3 linked regions of the Danio rerio genome follow. The protein of the gene in region 2 binds, or shares a complex with, the protein of the main gene of each other region. Links are inferred from orthologs where the notes say so. Each region holds a gene or a part of one and is shown on either strand. Other genes may lie near its edges. The genes, in order: pola2, pola1 and prim2.

Evidence for each region.
Region 1: the proteins of pola1 (region 2) and pola2 are in contact, whole or in part, in a cryo-EM structure (PDB 8G99), measured with the Xenopus laevis proteins. The link is inferred for Danio rerio from reciprocal best matches to the Homo sapiens genes POLA1 and POLA2. Residues at the interface, in NP_001082055.1 of Xenopus laevis: Gln548, Lys551, His553, Gln554, Asn555, Phe642, Glu645, Val646, Gln649, Asn652, Leu673, Gly675, Arg676, Phe679, Lys1137, Asp1141, Pro1143, Asp1144, Ile1321, Gln1322, His1324, Asn1325, Lys1326, Leu1328, Leu1329, Arg1332, Ile1335, Lys1336, Tyr1338, Tyr1339; in XP_018112289.1 of Xenopus laevis: Met280, Tyr281, Lys282, Phe283, Met284, Phe285, Gln286, Lys287, Leu288, Met289, Ile291, Arg292, Val295, Ser296, Ile299, Glu314, Thr316, Leu320, Pro321, Gln323, Glu324, Thr325, Val326, Gln331, Gly333, Cys334, Asp335, Ser336, Asn337, Gly338.
Region 3: the proteins of pola1 (region 2) and prim2 are in contact, whole or in part, in a cryo-EM structure (PDB 8G9F), measured with the Xenopus laevis proteins. The link is inferred for Danio rerio from reciprocal best matches to the Homo sapiens genes POLA1 and PRIM2. Residues at the interface, in NP_001082055.1 of Xenopus laevis: Leu842, Lys853, Ile894, Pro895, Glu896, Leu971, His974, Arg977, Glu978, Leu981, His982, Glu985, Gln988, Lys989, Asn991, Glu993, Asn1007, Asn1009, Arg1101, Asp1102, Glu1106, Gln1109, Glu1221, Asp1224, Gly1225, Asp1227, Ala1229, Leu1230, Met1233, Trp1234; in XP_018121015.1 of Xenopus laevis: Pro34, Pro35, Thr36, Glu37, Asn38, Ile39, Ser40, Leu41, Ile42, Phe44, Glu45, Ile49, Ile107, Phe110, Ile111, Leu114, Cys117, Gln118, Ser119, Glu120, Asp121, Arg123, Ala240, Arg241, Leu243, Val245, Val246, Gln247, Arg251, Leu252.

The regions. Positions count from the first base shown.
Region 1 is NC_133183.1:19,039,914-19,044,052, reverse strand, and holds the start of pola2 (DNA polymerase alpha subunit B), read left to right. Parts: upstream 1-1,283; 5' UTR 1,284-1,383; intron 1,384-1,611; 5' UTR 1,612-1,652; coding exon 1,653-1,734; intron 1,735-2,869; coding exon 2,870-2,994; intron 2,995-3,694; coding exon 3,695-3,780; intron 3,781-3,870; coding exon 3,871-3,928; intron 3,929-4,139. Other genes in the region: dimt1l (dimethyladenosine transferase), read right to left, coding at 1,026-1,083. UniProt on the Homo sapiens protein: Accessory subunit of the DNA polymerase alpha complex (also known as the alpha DNA polymerase-primase complex) which plays an essential role in the initiation of DNA synthesis.
Region 2 is NC_133199.1:27,774,794-27,778,452, reverse strand, and holds part of pola1 (DNA polymerase alpha catalytic subunit), read right to left. Parts: intron 3,375-3,659; coding exon 3,313-3,374; intron 3,209-3,312; coding exon 3,119-3,208; intron 3,041-3,118; coding exon 2,924-3,040; intron 2,847-2,923; coding exon 2,671-2,846; intron 2,133-2,670; coding exon 2,003-2,132; intron 227-2,002; coding exon 107-226; intron 8-106; coding exon 1-7. UniProt on the Homo sapiens protein: Catalytic subunit of the DNA polymerase alpha complex (also known as the alpha DNA polymerase-primase complex) which plays an essential role in the initiation of DNA synthesis.
Region 3 is NC_133188.1:26,670,479-26,673,073, reverse strand, and holds the end of prim2 (DNA primase large subunit), read left to right. Parts: intron 1-1,602; coding exon 1,603-1,815; 3' UTR 1,816-2,002; downstream 2,003-2,595. UniProt on the Homo sapiens protein: Regulatory subunit of the DNA primase complex and component of the DNA polymerase alpha complex (also known as the alpha DNA polymerase-primase complex) which play an essential role in the initiation of DNA synthesis.

The sequences.
Region 1 (4,139 bases), on a different chromosome or scaffold from region 2:
AGAGTTATTAGCCCCCTGTATTATTAGACCCTGTTTATTTTTTTTCCCAATTTCTGTTTAACAGAGATATTTTTTTCAACACATTTCTAATTATAAACATAATAGTTTAAATAACTAATTTCTAATAACTGATTTATTTTATCTTTGCCATGATCAAGGTAGATAATATTTTACAAGACATTTTTCAAGACACTTCTACACAGCATAAAGTATTATGTTAAATAGGTTTACTAGGCAGGTTAGAATAATTAGGCAAGTTATTGAATAACAATGGTTTGTTCGGTAGACTATTGGAAAAAATATATATAGCCTAAAGGGGCTAATAATATTAACCCCAAAATGTTTCTTTTTAATTAAAAGCTGCTTTTAATCTGGCTGAAATAAAACAAATGAGATTTTCTCTAGAAGAGAAAATATTATCAGACATGCTGTGAAATTTCCCTTGATCTGTTAAACATAATTTTTAAAACATTAAAAAAAAAGAAAATATATATAAAACTCTGATTTAAGCTGTGTGAACAATTACAAACGTATATGTGCAGTGGACATGTACAATTCAAGATGAATTAGTTCAACAAAGTGCAATGAATACGTATAAATATTAAATAGTGCAGTGTTTATGGGGAGTAAGACCGACTGTTTTGCTTTGGGACATCACTGTTGTGAGAAAACTGAATATACACAGTAAACATATAAATATACTGTACATTTCCTGGTTTAATTTATAAATGTTAACTGGTGTTTTAGAGGTGCAAATACTGTATAAAATAAGTCAAAACAACTGGGATTAATTTATATACATGAGATGAATGAAAGTAAACATTTTGGACCTAAAAATAGCTATAATGCCTCCTCTTCTGTTTTGGAGTAAGAAGTGACCAGGAAGTGTTACTAGCAAGTTCTAAAAGGTTTATATTATTTAAATTTTAAATATATTACAGGTTTAACTTTGATTATTATATCTATAAGGGGACATTTGATTAAATGGTTTGACAGCATGCAGTACTAAAACATTTCAAACCAACCTTGACTCTTCACCTCCTGGTGTGTTCGAGACTTCTTCTCGGCTTTAACCTTCGGCATTTTGACAAATAATATCAGCGACAGTGAAAAGTAAGATGTAAATCACAAAAATACTTATACGTTTACAGCACCACAAACACGTGTAGAAGCTACAGGGTTTATTCTGTTTCCTTTCAGCTGATCTGGGAGGAAATTCGGTTGCGGTTGACCTTGCGCTCCCTCTGCCGTTCTGGAGGAGACGTGCAGGAACCGGAAGTGACCTTTCAGTGGGTTTTGCGGGTAGTACATTTTCGCGGCAATCCGAACGTGATGCAAAGACTGCTGAGGAATATGACAGCTGATTTTGACGTTTAATAAAAGGTAATCTTGTCATACAAGTCATTAAAACGTGTTCATTAGGATTGTCTTATTTCGAACTTGCTGTTATGTTGAGTAAAACTGTTTATAAAGCTAAATAAGTGAATTCGCGAGAGCGCCATTGTGTTTACGTTAGTATTTAGTGAGAGACTTAACATTTCTGACTGTTATAAGTCCGTTTTAATAATTGTGTGGTGTGAATGTTTTTGAAAAACCTGTTTTCTTTTTTAGGAGGTTGTTTTTTTACATTTGAACATCAGAGGACAATAACAATGGCTTCAGTCACTGCAGAGGACATCAAGTCTGAGCTGGACACTTTCAACATAGCCTTCAACAATGACACCATCGACAAAAGTAAATGTCCAATCTATTCATTGTGTGTGATTTTAGTATTGTTGACATGATTTAATGCTCTAAAATATATGCATCTCTTAATTTTAAACACACAAATATACATGTATGTGGTTGTGTGTTTGTAGGCAAGTACTTACAAATACACATTGAGGTAAATTTGGTTTTATGTTCACACATTAGGACTTTCTCCTTAATAATAATAACTTCAGAAATTATTTATTGCAAAAAAAAAACTGAAATCATATTAGCAGCAAATGACTATCAAAGTACAACATTGTTTGGAGTCAAATAAATAGTACCAGTGTTGTTTTCAAGTCATGCTTACATGTGATTTTAGACTGAATATTCAAATTACCATGCAGAGTTTTCAACTAACCCAAGTGGTTAAGATATTTTCTTGCTCTGCCAATATTTTTACTGGCCCCACCCAAAAAAAAAATAATTGCTATTTTTTTTAGCCACACATTTTAAAGAATGTGTCAAAAATAATCTAAGATGTATATATTTTTAAAATGTATTGTGAGCAAAATTCAAAGTGTTATGCAAACAAATAGAGCAGTATGGAAAATGTGCCGGTGTTTTATTGCAGCTCTACATTATTTAACAAATGGTGGCTGACTTGCCAAACTGAAAACTAACTGTGCAAACATTACTTCATTTTTTTCGTTGTGTTGTATCCACATCTGCTACTAAGAATTTAGAAACAAACGTTTTCGTTTAGCCTCATAATTTTATGCTACCGCCTCGTCGCTGAGACCAGAAACAAAAAAAACATGCTCACAACATCTAGTCACATAAGAGGACCCGAAAAGCAATATGGTGTTTTTGATATCACAGAGAAGGTAGCATTTAAAGGCTTAACAGCACAAACTGTTTCTCGATTCTAAGACTGTATTTCGACGCAATTGACATTGTCGCAGGCAAATTAAACTTTAGTAAGCACTGGTACGATTGGGCCAGTAACAATCCTGTCTACTGTCCTGAGCATTTCACACGCTGGCCTGGGCCATCTTCTTGTTGAGCCCTGCCACGGTGAACAATAAAGGGAGCATGTCACAAGTTGTCACTGAACGAATGTGCGAAAAACTTTACCTCAATTAAATACACATGACTTTTGTTTTTTTTTCTATTGTAGTGTTGGAGCAGTGTTTTTGTCACAGGCTGACGGGTGAAGAAATTGTATTCGAGTGGTTTGCTTTTAGCTCCACCAGAAAGCAGCTGCCGCTCACTCTCGAAAACCTGGACCAGTTTGAACAAGAAGTTAGTAAAATGACATTAAAAACTCCAACTGAAATTCTGCAGTGCTTTGAGATGCCAAAAATAAGATCCACAATGTTTCTATGCTTCATTTGCTTTAGAGCTAAACAATACAGTATTCCTGTATATCTTTTCAGCATTGATATTGCAATGTGTGAATCCTCAGTCACATTACATAGATATGCAATGTTGAGTTGACTTTGCGGTGTAATTTATTTTTACATTTACATATACAAAACCATAAAGCTTGCACTGTTTATTACACCTTTTTTTGCTTTGTTGCATTTATCTATGCCTGTAGTGTACTACATTTTATGCGATTTACTCCCTTTTAAAATCATCCCAATCAAACAGATATAATACATTTGTTAACACTTTAGGGACCAATTCTCACTATTAACAAATTGCTTATTAGCATGCTTGTTGTTGATATATTGGCTTCTTATTAGTTCTTACAAACAACCACAATAACTATTAATAAGGAGCAAATTAGGTGTTTATTGAAGCAAAAGTCATAAGGGTTTGCTAAGAGTGAGAATTGAACCTTAAAATAGTGTGACCAAAAAACTATTTAGTCATTTGGTGGAACTGTATAGCATCAGTGTATCGCAATGTACATTACAGACAAATAAAATATTGCAATGTCAAATTTTTCTAGGATTGTGCAGCCCTAATTTGCATACTGCTTCTGCACTCCTTACAGGTACTGAACAAGAAGAAAAAGCCTAAAAGCACCTCAAAGGGAAGCCAAATAAACAAAACCAGAGACATCAACTCCATCCAGGAGCTGTATCCTCATAAAGCTCAACATAAAGATTAATGATTGTTTAATTTTTATTCATAAATGTTCAAAGTGATCTTCTTAACTGAGTCTTGCAGAATCAGAGCAGAGGAGGAAGAGGAGAACATGCTGGATTCCTATTCAACACCTGCCAAGGTGAGACTAAATAAAGACAGAATAATGAGGGAGACTTGTTGGAAATGTATGAAGATAGATAAAAATGCATGGTCTGCAAGTGTTTTTCAGTCACAGATTAACCTCCGGTTAAAGGTTACTGTGGCTATTTTAAATTTCATAAGGTTCCTTTTACAGCATTGATGATGTGATGTATTTAAATTATAATCAGTTAAACAGACGTAAGCATTCA
Region 2 (3,659 bases):
CCTCACCCTGAGATCGGGATTAAAAGATGAAAAGGCTCAGGGAGGAAATTATTAACCATTAAAATGGTCTGACATCTGGAGTAATGGAGGAGAAAAGATCTCATACCAGATCTTGTTGTGCCTTCTTGAAGAACTGCTTGTCTGGAACAATGAAGTCCCTCTCATGGAAAGCATGGAGCAGAAGATATTCATTCCTCTCAGAGCGTCCACCCATCAAAGTACGAGACTGCAAGAGAACAGCATTACAGAAAAAAAGAATTACACGCATCACTAGGAGTCATGCATCTCAAAAATACAAAATTAGAGAAGCACTGATGAATCAGCAGCCAAATTTTGAATTTTATATTGGGATTAGAGGGATACTGAATGTAGAATGAACATGGTCGGTATCAGAGCCTTATTGAAATCTGTAAGGCCTGACTGAAATTTCTTTTGCAAAAACATAAAATGCATTACAAAGTGTCACAAGTATTTAAACTTGTAAAAAGAATAATTTATATTTATTATACTAATAATTATAATTTATTTAAAAATAAAATTAAAGTAAAAATAAACTGTATATACACCACAAGAGAATCGATGGAAAAACACTTTACAAGCATGTGTGCATGGGTGTGTACAGTGCATCCGGAAAGTATTCATAGTGGACTAGAAACTGGAAGACTAGTCAGGACAATGTACAGAGATATCCTGAATGAAAACCTGCTTCAGAGCGCCCTTGACCTTAGACTGGGGCAATGGTTCATCTTCCAGCAGGACAATAACCCAAAGCACATCACCAAAATATGAATGGAGTGGCTTTACAACAACTCAGTGAATGTGCTTGAGTGGGCCAGCCAGAGCCCAGACCTAAATCCTATTAAACATCTCTGGAGAGATCTGAAAATGGCTGTAAACCATCGCTTTCTATCCAACCTGATAGAGTTTGAAAGGTACAGCAAAGAGTAATGGGCAAAGATTCCCAAATAATTATGAACAAGTGATTATTCAGTTTTTATTTTATTTTTAATAAATTTGCAACAATTTCAAAAAAATCTTTTTTCTCATTGACATTATGGGGTATTATGTGTAGAATTTTGAGAAAATATATTAATTGAATCCATTTTGTTATAAGGCTATAACATAAAAAAATGTGGAAAAAGTAAAGCTCTATGAATACTTTCCTGATGCACTACGTATGCATGCTAGTCCATTAGTTCATCTTACGATACTATACCAGGTGAAGTATCACAATACCAATCAGTACTGTGATACTACTCGAATTATCAAGGAATTATAAAGAAACTTGTCAGAATTACTACATTTTAGATGTTATAATAGGTCTACTTGAATTTAATACATAATTACCTTATTTTTGGAAAAAAACGTCGTCATTTGTTCGTCATTTCACCTAAAATGTATTAATTTTTTTTTTGTTTAATATAACTGACCAACAAAAATTACATTAAAATAAATATACAAATTATACCAAACGAAATTGGTTACAAAAAGATGAAGTGGTCAGAAATTGTTTCAATGTTTCATGTTGCTATTTTGGGTTCTTCTTCTTTTCTTTTTTTTCTGTCTTATCAAGTAACAATCCAAAGTAATTCAAAATGTAACTTTGTTCTTTTTAAGGGATTGTTGCAGCTGTTGTAGCTACTAAATCATATTGACAGGAACAGAAATGAACAGATTCAGGTGTGCGTTTGAAACATCAGAAAACATGCAACCTTAAATGGCTCCACAGACTATTCAAATAAAATGGTCTACTGTTGCACAAACGTACATATACATTCATGCTTCAATCTTTTTTTGTGAACAATTGTTTATTATTGTAACTTTTGAGTAAAGGTAAAATGCAACTTAAGATTACATTGTAAACACCCCCAAACCTTTACTCAAACAGGGGGACTCGTTCTATAATAACAGAAAACGTATGCTTCATTCTAAATACAAAAGTAACCAAGCTAAAATGTGATTAGCATTGGTGTAGTTATAACCATTTATAAATGTATCTTACCATGACATTACCAGCGATGTTAGTGATCTGCAGTGCTAGCGGGAGTACATTTAATTCGCACATGATTTGTAGAATGAGCTTAGCATCCATCCAGGTGAGCTCCAAAAGGTAGAGTAAATGTGTGGAATCACTATTGCAAAAGAAAGAAAGAAACAAATAGGAATAATTTAACCCTCATTCGTTTTCTTTTTATACCAAATGTTTTTGGACTTGAGGGGTAAACAGGAGCACCCGAAATAATATATCATATTATTTGATATACAATGGGCACTGCCAGGTTTAGTCTACGCTGCAGGAGAGGTCAGAGCTGCTGGATTTACTTATAATTTTCTTCAGATTATTAGAATAAACGTTCAAGAAACATAAACAGTGTATACTACATGAATAAAGCACATAGTCCAGTTATATTTAAAAATAATTATTATTGCCATCTCCATTGTCAAATCTTAAATTCTGTTTGCTTGCTTTTATGTGTATTTGAAGGTCTGAAACACAAAATAAAATATTTGTTAAACAGAAACAAACAATTATTTCTGACAAGCACCAGACCCTCGTTTTATGCCTCAGTGCCTTTAGCAGCTGATGATGTGTGCTCTGAACGGTGTGATTGTACTCGTGAAAGGGTTAACAGTGCTACACAACGGAAGCAGGACTGTGTGCAACCACACCTGTAGAAATTCCTGATGTTCTCTGGTGGCACCACCGGCCTCTCCGCCTTCAAGATCTGGGACACCAGCTCAGTCAGATTATAACTCTTGCACCGGATCAGCTCTTTGGCTGAAATTTCAATATCACAGACCAGGCGCCCACAAGTTGCGCTCTTCTCAGCAAAGCCACTGCGACCCTGTAATGCACAGATAGATTAAAAACACTGAATTCAAAATGTGCTAAGAGTTCAGTGCTTCCAAATAGTTCTCTCACCCCCAGTTTGGGCATGTTGGCTCTTCTTAGACGGCCGATCTTTGACCAGTGAGGTACTTTACACACATTGATCCTCTGCAAAAGCACTTCAAGGTCAAAACCAAAGATGTCATGGCCCTACAGCAAAAAAAAGGTGATTGAATTAAAAATTAATAAAATTCATCAGTAATATTCCAGTCAAGCATTTAATCTCACCACTAAGACATCTGGATCGATCTTGTGCATCTTGGCCAAGAAGAAGCCTAAAAGCGCACGTTCTGTACCAGCAATCTCGACAATGCCGTTCTGAGGTAAACAAACAAAAAAAGACCGCAGAGGTTTATTTAATGCTCCATAACCTCATGCAGAAATCAAAAATAATAGAAATGTAGGCGATTAAAAAAAATAACCTTTTTCCTAACTGCATCCTTAAAGTCATAAGGGAAGACACAGTCATTAGGCTTGCTCACCACTGCAAAAGAATGTAATTAGTTAAATATAACATATTTAATTATATGGAATAGTGCTGTCAATCGATTAAAAATTTTACTAATTAATCACACTTTTTTTTTGAAAATTAATGGTGATAAATCAAATTAAAAAAACTGAATCTTGTAATTTTGCCATTTTAAATGTAAAATTAAGGTAAACGCAAGACAAAAACAATTTATGAAAATATAATTGTTTATTAGAATTTTTGTTTAACTTGTAACACAGATTTCTTCATGTAAACAACATACCCACAATAAACTATCAA
Region 3 (2,595 bases), on a different chromosome or scaffold from region 2:
AAGATGAGTTTATTAGGTTAACCAGGCAGGTTAGGGTAATTAGGTAATTCATTGTAAACCGATGGTTCTGAAGACTATCGAAAAAGAATGGCTAATAATTTTGTCCTTAAAATGGTGTTTAAGAAATGAAAAACTGCTTTTATTCTAGCCGTAATAAAACAAATAAGACTTTCTCCTGAAGAAAAAATATTATCAGGCATACTGTGAAAATTTCTTTGCTCTGTTCAACATAATTTTGGAAATGTTTAAAAAGGAAAATATATATATATATATATATATATATATATATATATATATATATATATATATATATATATATATTTTTTTTTTTTTTTTTTTTTTTTTTTTTTTTTTTTTTTTTTAATTAATTTCTTCATTTTCGCTTTTCATTTTCTGGATTTAGGATTTAATATAAATTTGTTGTCAAAATAATGTAATTACTTATTAAATGTTAAAATTAAATGAAAAAACTAAATGTTTAATGTTTTAACGCTTTGTCAAAATTAAATGTAACCATTCCCTTTATTTCCGATCCATGATTACTCCTTTAAAAGAAAAATCAATAAACGTTTATTTTTATTTTATATATATATATATATATATATATATATATATATATATATATATATATATATATATATATATATATATATATATATATATATAAATTTTTTGTATTATTATTTATGCAATAACAATAATTAGTATTAGTGTAGTGTATAATACATTATATATTTCTATCCGTTTTTATTTTTGGTTAAACTTAAATTAAAGAGTTGTCATGAAAGTGCTTGAGTTGATGATATTAAAGTTTTTCACACATAATTTTGAAGATCAGTCTGGGCAGCTACTGTATAGAGATGAAGTTCCTCTGTTTATATCCTCATATTGAGACTGGAGACACTAGCTATGTTTCCATCCACCTATTATTATCTGCATTTTGGATATGCGCATAAAAAATAGTTGATGGAAATGCCAAGATGCGTATCAATTTTCAAAATGCGCATAAAAATGTTTGCGCATAACTGGATAATTAGCATAAATGTTTTGTTCGATAAGAAGAAATGCGCATAAACTGTGATGGAAACATATTAATTAAACAAACTTCAGTATACGCAAAAAAAAAAGTTATGTGATTTTGTTCTGTGAGATTATATGATGTTAAAATGTGTGAATGGAGAAACCAGCATCTGAGCACACGGTAAAACATCTGAAATGTTGTTTTGGTCACTTTAAAATGCAGTAACTGTATCAGTATTCAGTATTAGTGTTATATTATTAATGACCTCCAGAACTGTCAAGAGCGTCTGTGCCCCGCGTCTCACACCTTCAAATGATACCACATGTTCATTGCATGTCGGCATTGTCTAGTGAGGAGCAAGTCATTTATTAAATAAAGTAAAGATTCATGCAGCTTTTGCTGCAAATTCCGATTTTACTGTTGGTATTTGGCACCAGTTAATCAGGAAGTGACTATTTTGTTGTCTTTGGATGGAAATGCTGCTTTATTGCGATATTCTAGTTTTGCAAATAAATTTAATTAGCATTTTTGGATGGAGCTTCTGTCTTCTGCTTACATTTTGTCTTGTTTGTTTGTTACAGGTTGAGGATGCTGGGTTTTCTCTCAATCATCCAAACCAGTACTTCACAGAGAGCCAGAAGCTTCTGGGTGGAGGCCAAGGCATCAAGAAAGAAGTGGAGATGTCACAAAAAAGCCAAGAAAATCCTCCCAGTGCGTCCCGTCCATCTCAGGCAAACCCTAAACAGGCCCAAGAGGAGATGGGGGATTTAGACTCCTTCTTCCAGGATGAATGATTTTGTAGAACCTAAGGAAAATACAGGGCTCTTACTTGTATTCACTGTTTAAGACACAAACTGTCTTTTCAACATTGAAAAACTTGCATATGTCTGTTTTTACCTTGTCTTTATATTGATAAGATTCTTCTCAAATGACATGTTTTTACCAAAAAAAAAAAAAAGAATAAATAAAAGCACATTAAAATTACATAACATTACTTAAGTTTTATTTTTTGTTACAAAGTACTGAAATCTAAAAAAACCAGGACACACCAAGTTAAAGGTCACCCATTGGGCCTTTCTAAAAATATAAAACAGTATACTGTTATTCATCAAGAATCCATTAAATTGGTCAAAACAACTGTAAAAACATAGTTTCACAGAAATGATTGGAAGTAAAATGAGGCTGTAACACGCCAACACTGCTGAGATGAATATATAAGTATATGTGCTGTTCTCTTTCTTCTGAGTAATCAAATAAACACAAGAAAAATGACAGCAGTGAGAAATGGGTTTGAAAATGAACATTGCAATATTGGTTCAATCAAAAAGGTGCTATTGAACTCATAATTGTGTCTTTCCAACTCATTAATCTTCCCAGTGGAACTTGAATAGCAATGGCTGCTGAAAATGTAGGAATATGGCTGTGTTTAAATGAAAATATCTCATAGTTTCACTCACAGTACTAAAAGGTTTTGTTCAACAAAAATGGCAATAGTTGAATCACTCTCGTGTTGTTCTAAACCCCTAGACCTTCATTCTACTTTGAAATGCAGATTAAGATGTTCTAGATTAGGG